Oreochromis niloticus: one gene and its partners. The protein of the gene in region 1 interacts with the protein of each later gene in a pairwise test. Links are inferred from orthologs where the notes say so. Each region holds a gene or a part of one and is shown in the gene's direction. Other genes may lie near its edges.

Region 1 (7,931 bases):
AAATGTACAAAAGAAAATGAATTTATTAATTAATCTGTTTTAAAAGGTAATTATTGCTTTATAAATAAACATGTGACATCAGAGTGGAATATGGAGATTTTTTTGGTGTTAGTGTAAACACAGAAATTATGATCAGTCTGTTAAAGATTTCTTGTCCAAGAAGTTTTCACTTTTCCTTATTTTAAGTATGTACTCATCAGCCACTTTGTTAGTTACACCTTGGTCAGAGCCTCGTTTTTTAATCACAATAGCCTTAATTCTTCATGACACAGATTCAATAAGGTGTTGGAAACATTCCTCAGAAATTTTGGTCCATATTGATGTGACAGCATCACACAGCTGCTGCAGATTATTCGCTGCAAATCTTCCCTTCCACCACATCCCGAAGGTGCTTTATTCTATGTTTATGACAGTAGAGGCCATTTGAGTACAGTGAACTCATTGTCATGTTCAAGAAGTCAGTTTCATCAACAACGATACTCTGGCTGGCTGTGGGGATAAGACATTGCTTTGTTGGTAATAAGTGGCCCAAAACATGACAAGAATATTCTTGTCCTTACACCATTGCACCACCAGTCTGAACTGTCAGTACAAAGCAGGATGAATCCATTCTTTCATGTTGTTTATGCCAAATTCTGACCCTAAAATCTGAATGTTGCAGAAGTTGCAGAATGTTGTTCTTAATCTTCTATTGCCTAAGCTTGGTGGGCAAATTTACAGGCTGTTTCTTGTTCTATGCTGACAGGAATAGAGGTATTCATTGTGGTCTTCTCATGCTGTAGTCCATCTGCTATGTTGTGCTTTGAAAGATGCTCTTCTGCAAACCTTAGTTGTAGCAACTGATATTTGCGTTGCTGTCACTTTCCTATCAGCTGAAAGCAGCCAGCCATTCTCCTTTGACCTTTGACATCATCAAAGCATTTTCCCCCAGGGAACTGGGGGAACTCTTTCTCAGACCATTATCTGTAAACTTTGGAACTTTTTGTGTGGGAAAATCCCAGCAAATCAGCAGTTTCTGAAATACTCACACCACCTGACACCAACAACCATGCCACATTTGTCTTTCCTATTCTGATGCTTGTTTTGAATTTCAGCAGGTCGTCTTAACTGTGCTTACATGCCTAAATGCATTGAGCTGCTGCTACCTGATTGATTATACATTAGTTAAAAGCAGTTGAATAGGTGTAACAAAGTTAGTGCATAAAGAAGGCATTATTGTAGATTTGTGTCAGCCTCTTGCTTTTTTTTTTTTTTTTTACTTTTTCTCTAACTGTGGTTCTGTTTTGTTTTCAGGAGGGAGACAAAGTGTCAGAAGAACTACAGTGTGTGTCTTTGATGAAGATGGACAAGCAGGACGAATGAAGTGGAGGAAGACCAAAGAGACAACAGAAAATAAAGTCACTGCACAATTCATAGCTGTTAGAAGACTACTTATCCCACTGGAACACATCATGGTGCTATCTTCTCTCTATCAGCACTGATAAATTTAGGGGTTGTTTTCATTTTCAAAGTTTTTCTCTCTATATCTTTTGGTTCTAACTCTGCCTCATATTTAAGTTACACCTTTGCCAAGAAACTATAAGTACAGTCTATCAGAGGTGATGAAAGGCTTTCATGGGAACACTCATTCTGGTATGTTCCATATTCCTAACAATGCACACCTGCACTTCAACCAGCATTAACCGACATGTGGGCAGGTACACTGGGTATGCTTAAACTGTAATTCAACCCTTGCTTCCTCATTCAGCAATCATTTAACATCTGCTCAAATGAGCCTAAAACTTCCTCCTAAAGAATGAGGGTTTTTTCCCTTTAATAACGTACCAGTTATGACTTTCTACTTAACTGTGGACTGCAGGTCTACCTCTAAAAAAAACAAAGATAAATGGCTCAGTGGCCAAGATCAATTTTACACAATTATACAAAAAGGCATCTGAGAAATAAAAAGAAAGCCACCTAACCTTCGATGCAAAAGTAACCCCATGCGTGTAAACAAGAAAAATAAAGGGGTAAAACAAGCTATTCCCCGGTTCAATTCCCTCAGAGTTTGGAGCTGAGCTTTATTTTTTTACGCTGCACTTGTTTTCTGCAGCCATGCAACATTACGAACACACCCCATCAGCACAACAGAGAACACCCTCTTTGTACTTTCAAAGTTTCACACTTCACCCTAAATGCACAGCAAATACAACTAAATTCCACACCACAACACCTGCGACTGCATTCACACCTAAAGTGTCCTGACAGGAAGTGAACCGTTATTGCTGGGTATATATATTAGGTCATAGTAGTCACACAAATAGTGATATTTATTGTGAGATGTATCCCTCTGGAATCTTGTGTGCTAATTTAAGGCAATAAATATAAAACTAAATGAATAAACGTTATTCTCAAAAATGAGACCTCAGCGTAAGAAACAGGCTGAAGAGGTTTGTTTTGTGAATGATGACCCCTGGTGATCAGTTACTGTCACACAAAAAATGCAAGAAAGAAAAAAAAAAAAAAAAAACCCACCCACACACGCGCATGGCTGCATCCATCATGGCTGCCAACTACATAGAAATCAATGAGAACGAAAGTGTTTTATAACACAGTAATTTCATTTATTGCATTTTAAATCAACCTTTCATCCATGGTGGCCTTACAAAAGTAAACATATTTCGTCACACTCCATTTTCACTCTTATAAGCTGGCAGGAATGACTGCAGTTCAGTCTTTAAAGCGGTGAGGTTGTGCTTCCGTGCACGTTTGTCCTGAACCCCTCAAACACCTCCATGTTGTCGCATAAGCTACTGGGTTTCTTCACCACTCGTCCGCGGCCCTGTTAGAGTCCTCGTCGGCTACAGCACAGTCCAGGCGCTGCACACCGGGAAGCGCCAGGTCCCGTTCGTTAAGCTTTTCCAGAAACGACGAAAGGAGTCGTTTATTCAAATGGTCCGTCAGCGTCCTTTCCTCTTCGACCCGCTCCTTGGCCACGTTTCTATCCGGCTCCACTTCCTCGATTTCGGTATCCGCGCCAGGCTGCTGCGGAGGGCCGGACCGGTGGTTCAAGGACAAGCCGTTCGACTGCTCGCCTTCCACGGGCTCCTGCTCCGTCCAGCTCCCGCCGTCGGCCCCCGATTCGGTCTCCATCCGCGATATTAAAGTGGTCTGCAGGGCGGCATTCTCCAGCTCTTTCAGGCGCTTACTGTGGAGGCCGCAGGCTGGAGGTTCATTGCCAGACGAGTTGTTCTTGTTATGATGGGCCTCGCCGGTCTGCTCCATCATGCTCTGCGTCTCTTTCTTCTTCTGGGGGTTTAGCGGCCAGCTGGCGTCTTTGAATCTCACTACTGCCCTCTTCTGGAAGAGGCTCGCTCTAATCTCAGATTGGTTCCCTGCACTGTCCTGAATGCCCTTGCTGATACATGTTTTCTATCTTTTTTGGTATTTCACTAAAGACTAAAGTGATGTTTGATTAGATTTTCAGCATTTTAAACTTTCGTCAGAAGAATAAAAATATCACACATCCACAGATAATGATAATGCGTCCTGCAGAGAAAACAAACAATCCGTCAAATCAAAAATGTTGGTTCATAGAGAGATTTCCTCTACATCAGGGGTGTCAAAGATAGGGCTCGGCGGTCAGAATCGGCCCAGGAAAGTCTGCCTGACCAGAATGCTTTGGAAAATGTGAAGGAGTGCATAGATTTCGGACTGTATTTTCTCAAGTTTTACAGCTTTTTCTATTGATAAACACCTCGCTCATACCCTACACTTATGTCATAGATAAATGACAGAAAAGTTCCTGCTTTTCCAGCATCTACTATATGTACTATAGAAATCTTCTGCTATCAAATAAAAGAACTTTTCAAGGGTCGTGTATTTACTATTTTACACCTTTTATCATGGACAAAACATAGGAAATGCTTTTCTTATATAAAGATAAGTCAGGGTTTAGATGTTTACCTAAATGTCTTTACAGTGACGGAAAGGGGAGTTTCACTGGTTTCACTTGGTTCACTTATGATCAAAGTGAGTCGTACATGTCCCACAATGTAAAATCAGTTTGACATCCCTGCTTTACACACTTCACACAAATGCAGGAAAAATGTACTCTTCCACATTTAATAAGACTTTTTATTCAAATGGTTATTCTGAAGCATTTTATTTGACTTTTTCCATCTTGTGCTGCTTTATGATCAACTAAAGACACAAATACTGTGCTTTCCACTTTATATTTGAAAGTTTAGTTTAGGTTTCTACAGATATAATGTAAAAATCCAATGACTACAGTTATACCCTAAACTACGGGGGGTGCTTCCCAGTCCAATCTGTCGTTTTTACTAACTACAATGTTGTTTTCTTTGCCAAATGATTAACACTTCTCTCCAGTGCCTGTTTCCATTTACCTTTTATTAAAAAAACTTTTAACTGGGTATTAATATTCCCTTTTAACCAAAGTATTTCTTTGATATATTTTTAATACACCCACCTTTTTATTTTTTTGATATACAAATGATTTGGTATTAACATGCAAATTACCTGCTTTGTTTTATGTTTTGGGATGCTGTGTAAAATGTTAATAAAAGTAGAATTCAATGATTTTGGAAATCTCATAAGCCCATATTTTATTCACAATTGAACATTGAAAGTTTCCATTTATTTCTTTATTTTTTACAGTTGTGCTACAACTTGAAAATGGCACACAACTCCACTGTATAGAGTGTAATTGTGGATTTGACATCAGTGAGGGAAACATAGATTTTATAAGTGTGATTTAAAAAAAAAAAAAATAGAAGTGTAGAAAACATCGTCATAAAAGGTGTAAACTAAAAACTTTTTTTAAAACTTATTTTAGTGTAAAACAAGTGTACGCTACTCCTACTTATATATACAGCACAATCCAGGCGATGCACACCGAGAAGTGTGTGTAAGCTATTTTATGGCAGATAACATTTTTGAGTGTCTTGAGCTTCCGTAGAAGAATTTGGTTTCCATAGAGACCGTCTCTCATAGCGGCCACCGATCACTTAGCTTGGAGCAACTAGACCAGGTAATGATGCCTGAAACAAGACGTGTTACGTTTAATAACAACTAATTTCGTCGTTGAAAATATATATATTGTCTTTTCACTGATTAACGTAAGGTTAGTTAAAAACCATAACAAGCGATAGCTTTCTACTCACTTAAAGCCTTCTACGAGCTAGCTAAGCTTTTTTGTCTGAAGCCATGCTCCTTAAACTACACCAAGATTAGGTTCACATATAACATACGGTGTCCTGTGCGGGAATACAAATCAGCGGGGAAATCGTCGGTGATTCTATCACAGCTGTGTTACAGTTTTTAAAATAGTGACTGAAGTCTGTATTTTTTAGCACAAAGTTTCATGTCGTGAATGATAATCACGTCAGCTCTAATGTAATAAACCCCAAACACTAAATTCTCACTGAAAACCTGCCAGTCTCGAAGATAAACCTACGTGCACAGTCGGTAGCTCGTCTGCTGTTAACACATGCTCTTTCTTCTTTCCTGCTAGAGGACAAAGTGGTCTAAGCTTTGGCGCACAGTGCAATCAGCTGAAAATGTCTTTCCGAGATTTAAGAAGTAAGTGATGTTTACTGTCTGCTCTTCGCTGTTTGTAATGACCACTTTTTTGGTTTGTTTATTTGTTTTAAGAAGATAACTGAGTGAGAAGTTAATTGGAGTTTTATGTTATGTGTCAGATTTCACAGAAATGATGAGGGCCTTAGGCTATCCTCGCTTGATCTCTATGGAGAACTTCAGGACTCCAAATTTCTCTCTTGTGGCAGAAATCCTGAAATGGCTTGTGAAGAGGTATGCTTGAGCCTAAAAAAAATCGAATTGTTTATCTAAATAATCCTGCCACTGTTAACGTCTGTCCTCCACATTTTTCTGTCTGTATTTGTACACGGCCATGTTAAAGCATCATGTTTCTAGTGGAGGATACTGTGATATATTTTGCTTTTTTTGCCTTTTGCCCCCTTTCCTTCTTTTCATCCTTATAGATATGAACCTCAGAGTGATGTTCCTACTGATGTGGACACAGAAGCTGACAGAATATTCTTCATCAAGGCTGTGGCTCAGTTCATGGTGACATATTCTTTAGTATTTTATAAACTGTAGAGTTTATTCTTGCCAAATGAATGTCCGTTATTACTGCATCCTCAACAGTGTCTCCTTGTGTTCCAGGCAACAAAGGCTCACATCAAGCTGAACACTAAGCGTCTCTACCAGGCTGACGGCTATGCAGTGAAAGAGATGCTGAAGATCACCTCAGTGCTGTACAGTGCTATGAAAACCAAGCAGATGGCTCTGGGAGACAAAGTTGAGCAGGACAACAGCAAGTTCAAGTTTGACCTTGGCTCTCGGGTGAGGTGCAAACTACGCTGTGTGTAATGTTACGCCTGTTTTACTAAATCCTCTGTCACATACTTTATTTACATTATGAGACTCTCATCCCTGTGGAATTTAAAAAAGAAAATGTGCACTAGGTGACATTTAATTTGGGGAAGTGTTTGAAACCAAGATAAATTAAAGCAAATACCATATATGCAGTGTTTCAGAATGAAACAGCCATTCTTATTTCCTCACAGGAGCCACTTCTGCTAACTGCAGCTGTAAAATGTCTCAGCGATGAGCAAAGTCTGCTAAATGTTCTGAGGATGCTGTGTATTATATTCAGGTCCCAACAACAAGTACAAAATTCTCAGTGTTAGCACATTGCGTAATTAATGTGGCTAACACTAATTAAATGGCTTTAATGTTATGAACAGGACAGAGTGTAGGTTGTGTTTTTACATTACCTTTTGTGCTTCAGTGCAGGATAAATTCAGCTTTTTGCATTTACTTGAATTTATGTTTCTGTTGTTATACAATGAAACAACTGTGAATTGGTGACACAGATATGGCTTTTTAAGACTCTGTTCACCAGCAGTCACTTCCAAACATTTTCCAAGCTGTTCATCTGCAAAGTATTGTGACAGAATCACCATGCACACAAATGTAAGACAATAGCTACTTAAGTTTTGGCTGTAACTGAATAATTAATGTTAGAAGCAACAGATTGTCTTAATTTTCCTTAAGATTGAGTCTTAGTACTAAATTGTATCCAGCTCTGACATACAGTGCTGTGCAAAAATCTTTTTTTGTACAATTCTAACAAGCTTAATTTTGTGTGACTACCTTTTATTCTTCAACACAGCCTGAACTCCGTTAGCCAAGTTTTCTTCTAATTTCTAAGTAATTTTCAGGAATAGTTCTCCAGGCTTCTTAAAGGACATTCAGTGTTTTTCTTTGAATATTCACTGTCTTTTGTTCATTTTTCTGTCCAGACGATCCCACACTGCTTCAATAATGTTGAGGTCCGGGCTCTGGGAAGGCCAATCCATGGCTAATAAGCGTAATTTGTAGTCCTGTAAACGTGCCTGTCTTTGTACACATTTCTCACATTTCTGTTCAGACAGCAAGCAGAGAGGGATTTTTGTCTACTGCAGATGTGCTCCTATGCGGTTCAAGATCGAATGACCTATGTATCTGTCAAATGCTGATTGGCTGACAAGTTGGCCAGAAAAGGGAAGGGAGGGAAGGGAGGAACAGGAGCAGAAGGGAATGTGAGAAATGCAAAAAAAAACAAAAAACCCTTCAAAGATAAAAAAAAAAATAGTACGAGAAGTACAGACAGCGGCTGTAGTGGACACATTTCATTGTTTTCAACGCTCAGTTTCACTTCAGATTTTTTTATGTTACAACTTCACTCTTCTCCACTGCTGGCTAATGGACCAACAACAGAACAAACAAGGATCGCCTACAGACTAGTTGCACCACATACTTTGTAGGCTGTCTCCATCGACAACAAAGCTCTCTGCAGGTAGATGGGCCATCCTGGGACTGCAAATATGCGCTCCCTGCTGAACCATAAATTCAAGAATAGT
Region 2 (6,959 bases), on another chromosome or scaffold:
CCTGTGTCTTTTTCCTTGAAAGTGTCAAACTTTCCGACTCGTTCTGAATGATCTAAATAAACATTTAGACATCTGAGCAGGTCACCAGATTTTTTGCACAAATCCTAAAAGTGTAAAACACAGAACTCAGTTATTCAAGCAGAACATAACTGTTATTTATAGAGTAAGAAAAATACACCAGCAAGTCTATGAACATATTGAGGATTAGAAGTTAATTTCAAGAAGAAAAAAAAGTCGTCTTTCTTCAGTCCTTTTTCTTTAAAGAAAAAAAAAATCCATTGTCATGTTGGAGGGACTGTATCTTCCCATGCACAAATGAGATTTCTAAGGTCCCTTAGAAAAAGGCTTATTGAAGCCCACCAGGCTGGAAAAGGTTACAGAACTATTGCTGCACTTTCTAGTCCAACAATAGAAAGTCAGACAGATGGCGTAAATGGAGAAAAATTGAAGATCATTGTTACACTGCCCAGGAGTGCTTGATCAAAAAAAAAAAAAAAAAGATCTCTGCAGCAGCAAGATGGATCATAGCCTGGCAGGTAACAAAGAAGCCAAAAAAGGTTGTTTCTAAAGTGTTCACAAAATTTCAAGCAAAAGTCAAAATTGAATGATTCTACTTCCTTCCAATTCTCAGTCTAAATAATAGGTTAGCGCTCATGCTGGACACTAAATTGCCAATTATTATGGGAACATCCAAATGAAGTAGAAACAAAAGCATGTATTTTATTTGTTTAAACAACTTGTGTATCCTGTTGTGCGTCTTATATCGTAATGTATCTCACTGGATGGAAGACCTGGCTTAGCCACCTCTAATAAACAGTTCCTCGCTGTTGTTATGTTATTCTCCTCTTACATATCTGAGATTTCCCGACTGCACTCAGATGACAGCTCTCCAGGTCACTGGAAATCTTGAGGCTAACCTGGGGTGAGGAGGACTGATCCCTCCCTCCTCCCCCAGAGCTCAGCTGTCCCACAATGTGCTGTTGCTTGTCACTGAGGAGAAGTGGAACAGTGTTGCCAGTGACAGGGCAACACCCCCCCTGCTGCACACAAGGGGACCCTTAAACACTCTGGACAAGAAATACATTATTATATTATATTATTAATATTTATTTAGTAATTTAATCAATAGCTCTGATACTTAGAATAAATCCAAATGTCACAATAGGTATTAATTTTTTATATTTTTTTGCATTATTTCTTACATGTGGCCAATCAATTATAATTAAATTAGAGCCAGCCTATTTTTCACTGGTTTGGCCTATTTTAAGATGGAAAATAAAGTACAGTATTAACAAACCACAGGTAAACAAACTGTTCTGTATCTTAAGTGTTCACTTCAAATACTGAGGGACACACACACACACACACACTTCTCTAGTTCTGCTGACAATGGGTTAAGATGACAGAGGGTTATGAGTGATTCTGACACACTGCAAACCCCCTCCTTGCTGTACCCCTGAGTCCAACACAGGCTTCTTTGTACTCACTCCACCATCAGTGACGATCCATCACAGACTAACCTGACAGCCGACCCAGCCCCGTGCCAAGCTAAGACTGTGCACTCTGCCTCAAACCCAAGCCCAAACCCCAGGAGGAGACCACAAGCCACCAGACGGGCCTGCCAAACCTCTGCCTGGCACCTAATCCCAGGACTGAAACTTCCCTGTAGATAATTCACATTGTAAGATTTTTTTGTTTTGATTGTGTCTAACTGAAACTTTGTGTTTGTTACCTTCCAAATGATATAAAACACAGGTAAAGAATAAACGGTCAGAAATAAGAGGCTCTGTTCCATTGTGTATCATTAACCCTTTGAACCAGCACAACCCTGGAACGCTTAAATGGAAATCAGCTATCATTGGTTGCACCTGTGCTTTCTCTTACACGAAATGTCAAAATATCTGCCACGAACCATGCCTATAAATATGTTCTTTTAAACAAGCTGCTGTTATTTTTAGGCAACGCTGATCCACAATAAAAATAAATAAATAGAGGCTTTAAGGGGCAGTCATAATGAGGAAATGAGTTATAATGAGTTCTTTCATCCGAAATAAGGTTTGTCTGTGTGAGCTTGTCGCTGCTTGTGGAAAAAAGTCAGAAACTCAACAATAAAAAATTAATCTGAGCAATAAAAATATGTATTTTTTTGATGTAGATTTTCATCTGGGTGAAAAGGCCTTGTTGACACCTTGTTGATGTTAGAGGAGAATAGACAGACTGGTTTGAGCTGATAGGAACACAACAGAAACTTACTTGTTGCAACCAAGCTATGCAGGAGAGCATCTCATCAAACCTTATAATATGCAAGGGCTCACAAAATTGGACAATAGAAAACTGGAAAATTGTTGCCTAGTCTCAGTTTCAACAACAAGATCTGGATGGTAGAGGTCTAGAGAGAGAACTAAATTACAATATAGTGTTAGCTTGCAAGCTAACATGTAAGAAGGTTTTACACTGGTGTAGTTTAAATATTAAAAGCAGCTTTAAAAAAGGATAGGCTCCTTGGTATGTCGAACTTTCAAAATTTTCACATAAGACAGGAATTAATAATGTGTTCTTTAATTTTATAACACAGGGACTCCAGCAACACTTAAAAGTAAAGAGGAACAACTTTATTAAATGACCAACGCGTTTCGGCTTGTGGCCTTCATCAGGGTCATACTCTTAAGTGTTGCTCGAGTCCCTGCGTTGTGAGTTTCTCATCCTCTCCACGCACCTTGGAAGTAGGTGAAGTGACAGAATTTTTGCTGTTCTTTAATTTTATAAGCAGGAAAAGTATAAAACCTAGCTTTTCACATCTTATCGTGACACCATAAAGACCTTAGTTCTTCTTCATTTTCTCTATTTTAAATATTGAACTCATGGTATCCACTGATATAGTATTGTTTACTTTTGTTTCAAAAAACTTGTATTTACTCTTTCATTGGTTGGAGAATAACTTAAAGCCTCAATGGCATTGGTATTCACCAGACCTTTCAACCCTCTAAGTTTAATGAACTGTGGTTACTAGGAAACTGCTAGCAATTTGTCTCTTCCAAAACATCTCCTGAGAGGTATTATATTACTGTGATAAACGTATTGTAAAGAAATAGAGCACAGACTCATGTAACACTCCTCATGATATGCCTGTCACTCCAGGCCACTTCTCTGCTGACAGAAGTGTGTGTTTTGGCTGTGCTGCAATGTTAGCGGAAGCTAGTCAGAATTAGCTGATGAGCTACGAGGTGAGACATGTCCTGGAAGGATTAACACCCAGTGGCTAAGCTAATGCTATGACTTGCTGGAAGAGGTCAGGACAACCAAGGCCATTCCCTCTGTGTGGCTGACTCATTACTGTCCCTTAAATTCTGGGAGTAATGTGAGCCAGCGTCAGCCTAGCAGCTCACTCTGCTCATGGTTCCTGCACAGACCTGCCTGGTTCTGAGGCTAGTATAGCTCAGAAGGTCACTTGCATCACATAGTGCAATCGTCTCAGGATGAAAGTCAGTGGATATGAATGCAGTTACATAAACCACAGGAACAATGTCACCTAAGCTTTTTTTGGTATTGACCAAGTTGATCGCATTATGAGTCTGACAGTGCTTCACAGAGGTCCAGAGTAAACAACAGTCTCTTGCCTCATTGACTTCCCATCAAAAACCTGAAGTCAAACAACGTATTGTCACTGTGTGCCACTGGCTCCCAGCAGAAGTGACAGCTGTTTCCAGAATGTCCCTTCTGCCTCCCCACTTAATGATGGAACTCTTCATGTTCGGAAGGGGACGCAAGTCTGGGATTAACTTACTAAGATGGACACCTTTGATCTGAGGCTGTCTCTCCCATTTCAACCTGATCATGTCCTGGCCTCTTAAGAAATACATGAGCGCACAAACCCACAGAAAAACACGCACGCGTACAATTGGGCCTTAAAGCCCTAGAGAGCAGGGCCAAACAGAGATGTGATGTGTAGATGTGCAGCAACAGCTAAACGTCGTGTCAGGTTTCTGGGGGCTCGTGCTAAATTTAACCCTGTGATCCAGCAGAAGGCAGAGGGGTTTAAATGCCAGCCTACAGTTGCTCCACACCAGTTGCTCTCCACACGTCTTCCACTCATCACAAACTCAGGCCGGGAAGAAGATAGCCGCACACACGTACACTCCAACGCAAACTCCAGACACAGGACAGAAGAGCGCATACTGAAGACTAGTTCCTAGGGAAGCTGGGATCTTTGTTCCCTTGTATCCAGACCACAACTGTCCAGTATGGAGCTTTTTGAGACCAACCCTTATTTCTTCCCTGACCAGCGCTTCTATGAAGGAGGGGACAGCTACTTCCCCTCTCGCCTGCCCGGGGCGTATGACCAAGCTGGCTACCAGGACAGGAACTCCATGATGGGCTTGTGTGGGAACCTGTCTGGGGGTGTTGGAGTTGGAGTGACAGGTACCGAGGACAAAGCCTCTCCATCCAGCATGTCGCCTCACTCCGAGCCCCACTGCCCAGGTCAGTGTCTTCCCTGGGCCTGTAAGCTGTGTAAAAGGAAGACAGTGACCATGGACCGCCGGCGAGCAGCCACACTGAGGGAGAAGAGACGCCTAAAGAAGGTGAACGAGGCCTTCGATGCTTTGAAGAGGAGCACGCTGATGAACCCCAACCAGAGGCTGCCCAAGGTTGAGATCTTGCGGAGCGCCATCCAGTATATTGAAAGGCTCCAAGCCCTGGTGTCCTCCCTCAACCAGCAGGACACTGAGACAGGACAGCAGGGTTTGCTCTACCGGCCCAGCCCAACTCAGCCCAGAGTAAGTAGGACAGAGACAGGATGAGGGAAGGGAGAAATTCAAAAAAACAGAGAAAACAGCCAAGAGGGAAACAGAGTTGGGAACAGCACTAGTTGGAAAGTGGCAGAAGATATGGGAGAAAAATGAGCGGTACAGTAAAGAGAAAGATAAATACTACATTAAACAATGACTGGGGTAAAATGTCAAATCAAAAATGTGTAAATTTGATTATCTGGTCATGTTCCTTTTGATTTATTCATTCTGGATAAGGTTTGATGTTATGCATATGTATTCAGCCATATAATGAGCAAAAATGTTGTGTTTTAAAAGGTTTTTAAAAACATGATGCAGTGTAGCTCATTAGTGTTTTTAAAGACACTGACAAGAACTCCTGTGACAGGCGTCGTAGTAATGGAAAGTCTTTTTCATTGTGTACATTTGCCTCTGAGTGGGGTCACGGGATGCATTAACTATATGTGCATTTGTGGTAGTACACTGCACTTTAGTGTGTGTTGTATTTCTGTGTGGCGTGCTGTATCATAACAGAGTGACTGACAGCAACTTGTGTGTGTGCATCTCCATGGCAACAGGTGTCGTCGTCAAGCGAGCCCAGTTCAGGCAGCACCTGCTGCAGCAGCCCGGAGTGGAGCAGCACTCCAGAGCAGTGCACGCAGAGCTACAGCAGCGAGGGTAAGCACAGGTCACTTAGTCCCATTAAACTAGGTAGACCAGGCAGCACCTTTACAGATACTTAGTGTCTAACTGGGTCTTTTTGCAGATCTCCTGAGCGCTGCAGACTCTCCAGAGCAGGGGAACATGCGGGCCTTGACCTCCATTGTGGACAGCATCTCTGCAGCAGATGGACCTGTGGCCTTTCCTGTGGACATTCCCAAATAGACCCTCAGACCAGCCGGCCAGTAGGTGCACAGCGAGCCTCAAACAAAAAGCAAAGTGACCTTTAATCCTAAATTATGTCTATTTTGTGCTTCTGCTGATTAAATTATTTTGTCTTATGCCAAATTACAAAATGTTTCCATTTGACGAGTATTGCAGCTCTGTTGATCCACGGGCCAGCTAGCCAAACTGACTTTTCCTGTTCACATTGAGGCTTTGTTCCCTTTATTTCCTGTATTATGCAATGTTCCAGACCTGTTTGTCAAAGCTACAGGAGATTCAAAGACTTTGCTGCATGAACCCAACACATATTTACTACACGTGATCCCTGTTAGGCTTGCCTCCAGATTTATAGAGCCACAGAGGAATGACAAATCCAGTTTTCTTTCCTTACTTAATTTAAGATTTCCTCTTCAAATGCTTTCCCTAATCTTTCATTCATTTTTTTTGTGTGTGTGAGTTTTAATGCTTAAAAAACAAGAGTTTATTTGTGGGGCCAATATGTACCATGGCAGTTTTGACCAAGATCTGCTTAATTTAAACTGATTATGAATGCTAGTGATGTAAATACGTTCCCTTTTTCTACAGAGTGGATTTGCCATTTTTATTTTTTTGCTAACTTATTTTGGACTTTTATAACTAAGATTGTTGTGTATTTGTAGATGTTCTGAAAAGTGATATTTTCTGTTTAATTCTTACAATAAAGACCATTTTCAATACGCTGTCCAGTGTTGTTTTTAGCCTATAATACAATACGCTGGCACATATAACTTAACAAGGAACACAGGATACCAAATCTTTAAAAAACAGCTTTACTTATGTCTATATAGTGTCATAAATACATTACACTTCTTTTTAAATAGCCAAATAATAAAATCTTGATTTGTCAGCATTGTTTCACACCTGGAATAAAGACACAGTACTCATAGCTGCCACATAGCACGTTACACCTTTTAGACACCTTGGAAAAACTTTCAAAAAAAAAAGAAAAAGAAAAAGATTGTACACCCATCCAGCACTTCACTGGTTCATTTGCTGTGTTCTTATTGGATGAGGAGTTGGTGAGCCAAGAGTACTGACTGCTCAATCAGAGCAAGATTAGACAAGTCTGTCACGTGGAGCAGTTTCATGTGGATTTCATTGGCTGATGTTGAGCAGCAGTTTACAGTTTGATTTTGAGAGAATGTAAGGAATCAACAGAGAAGAGCTACAGTGGTCACACTACCATCCACAGAGAAAGTCATGGTCGCATGGCTGGGGCCGGCCTTTTCACACGAAATCTACTAGTCTCAAGCACAGAGACTCATTTAG
Region 3 (7,787 bases), on another chromosome or scaffold:
GCAGGTCCACGCACAGCGTCAGGCTGAGCAGCGAGATGGGCAGGAAGTCAGCGTACGCTGACAGGGGGTGGCCTCCTGTAGAGATTGACAGATCACGTGACTTTCGCGCATTGCATTGTGGGTACGAGTGTCAACAAAATCAAAACACTGCATCAAGCGCTAGTATTTCCAGCACCGGTAATCATTAATTCTGCGGTTTTAATCCCTACTTGCATTTTATTTGCCCCCAAAACAGTTATGTACAAAACGACGGAGAACACGGCAGGTTCGTACGAAGACAGACTTGACGAAAAGGCAAAAAAAAGGACGACGAAAAAATCAAAGGAGTGAAAGGGTCAGACCCATACGAGCGTACAGGGTGGAGTAAGGACGTCAGCGTGCTGCCCAACTTTCATCACGCACATATTTATTATTATATGGTTCTAAGTGTGAGTGCATACACTCACAAGATGTTTATTACTATTACTATGGAAGACATCCTGCATCGTCCCGGTCCCCAAAAGGAACCGGCCCAATGAGCTAAATGACTTCCGACCGGTGGCACTGACGTCACATCTTATGAAGACTCTAGAGCGGCTCTTCCTCAAACTCCTCCGACGACAGGTACAACATGCCCAGGACCCACTACAGTTCGCATACAAGGCGGGTGTCGGAGTGGAGGATGCTGTCCTGTACCATCTACATAGAGCCCACTCACACCTGGACAAGGGAAAAGGCACGGTCAGGATCCTGTTTCTTGACTTTTCCAGTGCCTTTAATACCATCCGGCCCTGTCTGCTCCAGGAGAAACTAAACAGGATGCAGGTGGACCCCTGCCTGGTTGCTTGGATCTCCGACTACCTCACTGACAGACCACAGTACGTCAGGCTGAAGGACATCATGTCTGACACTGTGGTCAGCAGCACAGGAGCACCACAGGGAACTGTGCTGTCCCCTCTTCTCTTCACCCTGTACACCTCTGACTTCTGCTACAACTTTGAATTATGCCATATTCAGAAATTTGTAGACGACACAGACATTATGGGGTGTATCTGGGATAATCAGGAAGAGGAGTACAGAAGTCTGGTGAGGAACTTCGTCACATGGAGTCACACTAACCACCTGCAACTCAACACCTCAAAGACCAAGGAACTGGTTGTGGACTTCGGGAGGTCCAGAGCAGGTCCACTGGCGGTTCAGATAGAGGGGGAGGAGGTGGAGGTGGTCAACAAGTACAAGTACCTCGGGCTGTGGGTGGACAACAAACTGGACTGGTCATGGAACACAGAGCACCTGTATAAAAAAGCCCAAAGCCGACTGTATTTCCTCAGGAGGCTGAGGTCTTTTAACATCTGCAGGAAGCTCCTGAGGATGTTTTACCAGTCGGTGGTTGCTGGAGTACTTTTCTATGCTGTGGTGTGCTGGGGGAGCAGCACAGCAAAGAAGGACTCATCCAGGCTGGAAAAACTGATCAGGAAGGCTGGCTCTGTGGTCGGCATGAAGCTGGACACTCTGGTGTCAGTGGCAGAGAAGAGGACATTAAAGAAATTGCTGAACATTATGGACAATGCTGGGCATCCTCTGCACACGGCCATAAACAACCAGAGGAGTCTGCTCAGTGACAGGTTGCTTCTCCCAAAGACAAGAACCAACAGACTTAAAAACTCCTTTGTCCCACACGCCATCAAACTGTTTAACTCCTCTCTGGAGGGGAGAGGGAGGGGAAACAGGAGGACAAAGGAAGGGGGGGACAACTAAGCTGTAGTGCCTTTTCACTGTGCAATAGTTTTTGTTAATAACCAACGGTGCAATAGACTTCAATACTTGAAATGTGCAATTCCCTTGTATTCTTATTCCTATTTATTCTATTTATCCCTTTTGTATACTCTTTATTTATACATGTCTCTTTATTTATATATGTGTATGCTATTCTGCTCACATTCTCTAAGTTCTGTCGGTGCTGGGCTATTTGGAAACTGAATTTCCCAGAGGAACCCACCCGAGGGATTAATACATTTTTATCTTATCTTATTAACTTCAGATCCCTGCAACAAGCCCAGGTCCAGTTTACTTTGGTGATTTGGACTATTCCATTTCACAGCTGTTGTTAAATTCTTTTCCTTTATCTCCTGTACAGGCAAACGCATCTATTTGTGGTTTCAGGTTGTGGTATTACACAACATTTTCCGATCTAATAGAAATAAAATGAGTGTTTCGTAATTCATTCAATTTATTGTCTTTATTTATAACTGGCATTATTGTTTGATTCTATTATAGAATCTTACAAGAAAGAGGCAAAATTGTAAAAATCCATCATTCTTTATTAGCTGCTTCGGTGAAAAACAAATCAAAAATGCAAAAAAACAAAACAAAAAAACAACACTGCAAAACAACATACTGGAAAACAGTTATTCATCACTTGATTGCTTCAAAAAGATCTTTTGTTAAAAGGGTTGGCGTAATAAGCAAATGCTTCAGCCAATACCTTTTGATTAGCCTTGTCTCATGCTTTCTTGCTTTGTGGTAATCTTTATTCTATATTCACTGAGATATTTAAATGCTAATCAATAAAAACAAAAAACAAACAAAAAACAAAACAATACAACCCCCTTGGGCACATATATGCGGGACGTTTCGTGGCTGTTTTGATATCGCTCTCTCTCTTAACGGATCAAATCTGGCTGTGGTAGCAGCTTTAACCTCGGTATGACCCAGGGTGATAGAGGTGCCTGGTCTGGATGCATTCCAGCATTTTGTAGGCTGGTTTTCCTACAAAACACAACAAACATTAGCCCGCAAAGCCACAGTGAACAAAGCAGCATAACGCAACGAATTCAATTCAAATCAATATAAGACTTATTTGTAACCTACATCAACAATTATGTTATGATAAATTACGTAATAACTACAACAGAAGACGTACCTTTGTGGAAATGCTTGGAGCAGACTAACATGTGAGCTGGAGTGTTCTGGGACGTTATATTTGGTCTTTGAATGGCTGCAATCCAGGCCATCCGTCGGCTCTTTGTTACTTCAGAAACACGGCTTTAACAATTTCTCTTCCACGACGTAATACGATAACAACCGATCTCTTTACCCGTTGGCTTCCCGTGGCTGTCATGCGACCGGCTATTGCAGTTAATAATACAACAGCTTCTTGCCATTCTTTGTGTTTCTTTTTATCACCGTGTGACTGTTTTCTTGTGAAACCCTGTGCGCGCTAGTACCACTTGCCACTCGTATCCACAATCCTTTGCAGTTTTACCCCAGAATGACATCACATTTTCAATCTCTATTGAACTTGCAGACATCAGAGAGATGCTCAGATAGACAAATACAAAGGGGGGAAACACACTCACCGTGGATGCTGAGGTTGGTTAGGTGTGGCAGTGACGTCAGCCACGTCTGCAGGTGACAGGTGGGTCCAGGTACGGAGTACAGGTGGAACACTGACAGGGTACGGAGGCGGGACAAAGGCTGCAGTGTTTCCTGTGTCACCACGGCGTCATAATTCAGCAGCTGCAAGTCCAGCAGCTGTAGTGCAACATCACCTGCAGGACGATACGTGACATGTGATCTCACCTCTGTTCCATCTCAGAGGTGAGGCAGGTTCAGCAGGAAGGCAGAACACACCAGTGCCTACCCTTCCCTTCCTTCAAGATCAATAATCTAACTATTAAATATCTCAGCAAGTGACTGATCCAGGTGTGCCTACCTGTGTGGTGGGCGGGGCTGAAGAAGTCATGTGGGAGCGTCCTGTAGGTGATCATGGTCCAGGACAGGTGTGTGAGCTCGGTCAGGTGAGCGAGGACGCCGCTGAGGGACGGGACCCTTAGGCTGCCGTCATGGTGCAGCAGTAGTGAGGTCAGACGCGTCAGCTGACCAATGGCGGCCAACAGGTGAGAGGCAGAACAGGTGAGCTGCACATTACAGAGGCCGAGCTGTGTCAGCTGCTGACTCAGAGGAAACAGGAAGTCCAGGTTCCTCAGCGGTGTAGAACCGGATGTGACGGACAGTCGCTGAAGCTGGCGGAATAGTCTGAGATCATCCATGCCCCCTTCTCTCCAGTCGTCCAGTCGCAGGCCGCAGAGCGCCGGCAGCCAGGTGTACAGCTGCTTCAGGTGCTTCCTCTTACCTGAGCGCAGCAGCACGTTGCCCACGTGCCTCTGAGCCAGGCTACGCCAGAACGAGGGGTTGTAGCGCGAGAGGTTCTGCAGCACCACGCTGAAGCCCCTCCACAGGGGGCGGGACTTATCCAGCAGGTGTCTGAAGTATGAGCAGGTGCAGCGCATGCTCAGTTTGTCCCTCCAGGACAGGAAGCTGAACACCTTCAGCCACAACTCGGCCGGAAGCTGCAGCGCCATCTCTCACCTCCGATTATCGATCAGGGAGCTACCTGAGCAGCGGCCCTGACGTCATCACAGCCACAACACCGCGTTTCTGATTAGCTGATATCGATCCTTGATCGTGTCTGTGGTCAACTCCGACAGTTCTTCTCACTCTAACTGCGCCTGCGTGATATTATCGATTATCGCCAGCTTTTAAAAGATCTCCACAGAAAAAGAGAGTCAGTAAAAGTACGGCAGTCCCAGTCTTAGCGCAGGCGCAGTGACACTTACTTACAACATCCGGTTCCAGTGCTGACGTCACTGCCAGTAAGTTTCAGACGCTATTGCGCATGTCAGAGAATTGAAAGGGCGGCATCGTCAGTCACGTGTAAGAGCAGAAAACCAGTTTAAGGTCAGAACAGAGCTTCTCGCGCACAGGTGAGTTCACCTGAGAGCCGAGACCGGAAACCAGACACCCGCGGTCAAAGAAGACGACTGGAAGAAAAACCACCGAAGAAGAAGCTGAGCGGGCGGAGCTGGTCGGAGCTGATCGATCAGATGGAAGGTGGGTGATTGATAATCGATCCACACGTGACTAACCAGCTGATCGATGGCACGCGCAGCAAAAATTATCAGCTGACTGGCGTAAGCCTTTCCGTTATTAATCAGCGGTCATGCGGGCGCGCGCTCAGGGTCAGAGCTCAGAGACTAGAACGACAACAAAGAGTGACGTCATATGTATACACCTGAGGTCCATGTAGGATTTCACCTTTGGCTGGAGTCACGTGGACCATGAAGGTGGGCAGCTTGGTATCGATTATTGATCAGCAGGAAACATTATAGCTTCATACCGGCATAGCATGGTGAAATACCCCCTGACCCGGCTAAAGCCAGGTAAACCCTGAGTTACCTGGATAAGGTGACCTCTGCTGCAGAGCTCGAGTGGACGAGGTCAGGATCAGTAAAGCCAGACAAGGCAAGAAATCCTGGATATGTTGAACCTGCTTCATGGTGGGTTAGGGTTGGTTACGGTTGACCTTTGACGGCTGAATGATGATGTATTTGTTTGTTTTGATTTTGCTTTACTTCATTTTATGTCTATTTTTGACATTTGTATGTTTTTTAAATGATTTTTTTGACAAAAAGTTTAGAAATGTTGTTGTCACGTTCTGAGCTGTGACATCACAGGAAGTGACAGAGGCTGCTTTGAGGCGGCGAGCTGCACGTTGAGGACCGTGGTTTACACAAGTTTTATTGATTGTCTTGTCGTGTCGCCTGCACACTCTGTCACTAAAACACTCAACAACAAAATCACGTGACTCTGTTCTCAGGTGACATCTCAGTCACGTCAGCAAACAGGAAGTCTGCTGCGATCACAGGAAGTGCGAGAAAGATTAAAGACAACGCTGCCGACTGGCACAACATGATGCTGCGGTGGGACAGGTTGAATGAGGACGGCTTCATGGCGGCAGCAAGCATCGTCAACATGAGGCGGTCAGTTTACTGATGATCTCAGGAATGCCAGGTGTTGATGGATCATGTGATTGATCAATCTGAAATCTGTTTTCAGTGCTCAGAGCGATCAGCTGCTGCTCAACAATTCTTCATCGCCTCCACCCTCTTCCTCACCACAGCACGTGGGCGGAGCTTCTGAGCTGCAGGACAAATGTCTCAAACTGCAGGAAATCGTAGACAAAATGGTGAAGCTTCAAAAAACATTATTTACACTTAGGTTCAGAGACAAAAACAAAACACTGGTTCAGAATCCAATCAATAATCAATAATCACACACACACACACACACACACACAGCAGCCCCATCAGTGATCAATAATTTGAGTGCAGAGAGTAAAAGCTCACACAGACCTTTCAAAAGAAAATGAGAAAACAGCTTTTATTGACCACTGAACAAAAGCTGATCAGTATTGATCTTGACTGAGCATGTGACACAGATTAAGGCTCCTCCTCCTTGGGCTGATGTGCACAACTGCTTTATGAAGTTAAACTGAATCTCAGTTTGTTGATTTTAAAGTGATGCCATCATCAGGTTCACTATTTCCCAGCTTTCTCTGAGTGAGCTGGATCAGTTAAACCTGAACTCCCAGACAGAGCTAATCAAGCAAGATAATAATCAATAACAGGAATCAGGAAGGAGGTTATCAGTGTTCTGCTGGAGCCTCTGAGCATGCAAACATTTTACACGTGTCATGTGACCGATGAAGGCGCTGAAATAGATCCGTGCTATGCTCTGATAGGCTGATCAGATTTGTTTCTGTTCATGAGGACGCAGCGTTTTCAGTGGGAGAAACGTTTCGTCACTCTTCCAAGTGACAGAATCAACTTTTTGGGATTACCTGGATCATCGAGCATGCGTCAAGCATGCGTCAAGACCTCTTGTGTGACATCATTTCTTGTTTCCCGTCAGGCTGCTGTGGTGACGAAGATGGATCGTCTGATGACATCACAGCGTGGAGTAGAGGATCTGGAGGCGTTTCAGTTTGGAGCCGAAGGAAGAAAAACTCCTCTGTTTCACAGCTGGAGCACCAGAGAGTTCGGTGAGCAGCGTGGCTGATGGAAACCGTGTAGCAGCTTGGACTCTGGTCAGATGAAGCTTAATCTTAATTTTACATCTCACTTTAAATCCAATGATTCAGCCACAGTTTACTGATGGAGCTGTGAGATTAGTTGCCCATAGCAACAGCCTCCAGGCAGATCCGCCCTCTACTCAGATTTTATTCAATTGTTTCTGGTGCGGTTTCTGCCCGTTCCATCAGTAGCAATAACAAATTCCATTAATTCTGCCATTATAGGATAAAAATGCTTGAGGACTTAAATTGTGTCAACAGTTATAATCTGATCTCATATCAACTTCACGATCAACGATGGCTGCCCGACAGTCACTGTTTGAGTAAAACACCAAAGTTTCCGAGCCGACGACTTTGATGATAAAAGACAAACGTGGCTCAGCTTTCACTCAGCTGCCCACATGCTGAGCAGAGAGGGTTGAAGTCAGGGATGCAGAAGCTGTAAACGATCCAAATAGAGTAACACGGGATGAGCTGGAACCGGATCCGGTCTGAATCTGTGATCTGAATCCATTTTAGATCCGTCCTGCCGTGGAAGAGGACTCTGTTCCGGGGCCTGCGATTCTTTGAAGCAGATCCAAACATGTCGAGGCTCAGACTCGGAACCTTTAAAATGTGGTTAGATGACATTCAAGGACTGAAATGTAATCCGATTACAATCAGACTGTCTGCAGCAGCTTTGAAACGTCACAGTCTCAGTTTAAGAGTCTAAAAGTCATCTGAGCTCATCTTCACTCAGATATTCTCCAGCGGTGACTATGAGAAATGATTGATCGGTGATCAGAGTGTAACACAGTAAACGTTTGCAATGCAGGAAACTGACAGCATCACTGTCCACAGAGATGAAGGAGATGAAGACTACAGATGATGATAGATCTGTGATGTCATCACTGTC

Evidence for each region.
Region 2: the proteins of cluap1 (region 1) and myog interact in binary tests that used the Homo sapiens proteins (3 or more experiments, as listed by UniProt). The two-hybrid records come from large-scale screens. The link is inferred for Oreochromis niloticus from reciprocal best matches to the Homo sapiens genes CLUAP1 and MYOG.
Region 3: the proteins of cluap1 (region 1) and cinp interact in binary tests that used the Homo sapiens proteins (3 or more experiments, as listed by UniProt). The two-hybrid records come from large-scale screens. The link is inferred for Oreochromis niloticus from reciprocal best matches to the Homo sapiens genes CLUAP1 and CINP.

Annotation. Positions count from the first base shown.
Region 1 is NC_031980.2:33,020,631-33,028,561, forward strand, and holds the start of cluap1 (clusterin-associated protein 1 homolog), read left to right. Parts: upstream 1-4,895; 5' UTR 4,896-5,032; intron 5,033-5,515; 5' UTR 5,516-5,561; coding exon 5,562-5,583; intron 5,584-5,702; coding exon 5,703-5,814; intron 5,815-6,005; coding exon 6,006-6,090; intron 6,091-6,189; coding exon 6,190-6,369; intron 6,370-7,931. Other genes in the region: slc5a5 (sodium/iodide cotransporter), read left to right, coding at 1,294-1,362. UniProt on the Homo sapiens protein: Required for cilia biogenesis. Appears to function within the multiple intraflagellar transport complex B (IFT-B). Key regulator of hedgehog signaling.
Region 2 is NC_031970.2:25,640,214-25,647,172, reverse strand, and holds myog (myogenin), read left to right. Parts: upstream 1-4,123; 5' UTR 4,124-4,241; coding exon 4,242-4,775; intron 4,776-5,344; coding exon 5,345-5,444; intron 5,445-5,532; coding exon 5,533-5,651; 3' UTR 5,652-6,364; downstream 6,365-6,959. UniProt on the Homo sapiens protein: Acts as a transcriptional activator that promotes transcription of muscle-specific target genes and plays a role in muscle differentiation, cell cycle exit and muscle atrophy.
Region 3 is NC_031983.2:30,840,532-30,848,318, reverse strand, and holds the start of cinp (cyclin-dependent kinase 2-interacting protein), read left to right. Parts: upstream 1-4,728; 5' UTR 4,729-4,865; coding exon 4,866-4,872; intron 4,873-5,638; coding exon 5,639-5,801; intron 5,802-5,877; coding exon 5,878-6,007; intron 6,008-6,732; coding exon 6,733-6,862; intron 6,863-7,787. Other genes in the region: uncharacterized protein LOC102079865, read right to left, coding at 1-75, 3,339-3,530, 3,695-4,343. UniProt on the Homo sapiens protein: Component of the DNA replication complex, which interacts with two kinases, CDK2 and CDC7, thereby providing a functional and physical link between CDK2 and CDC7 during firing of the origins of replication.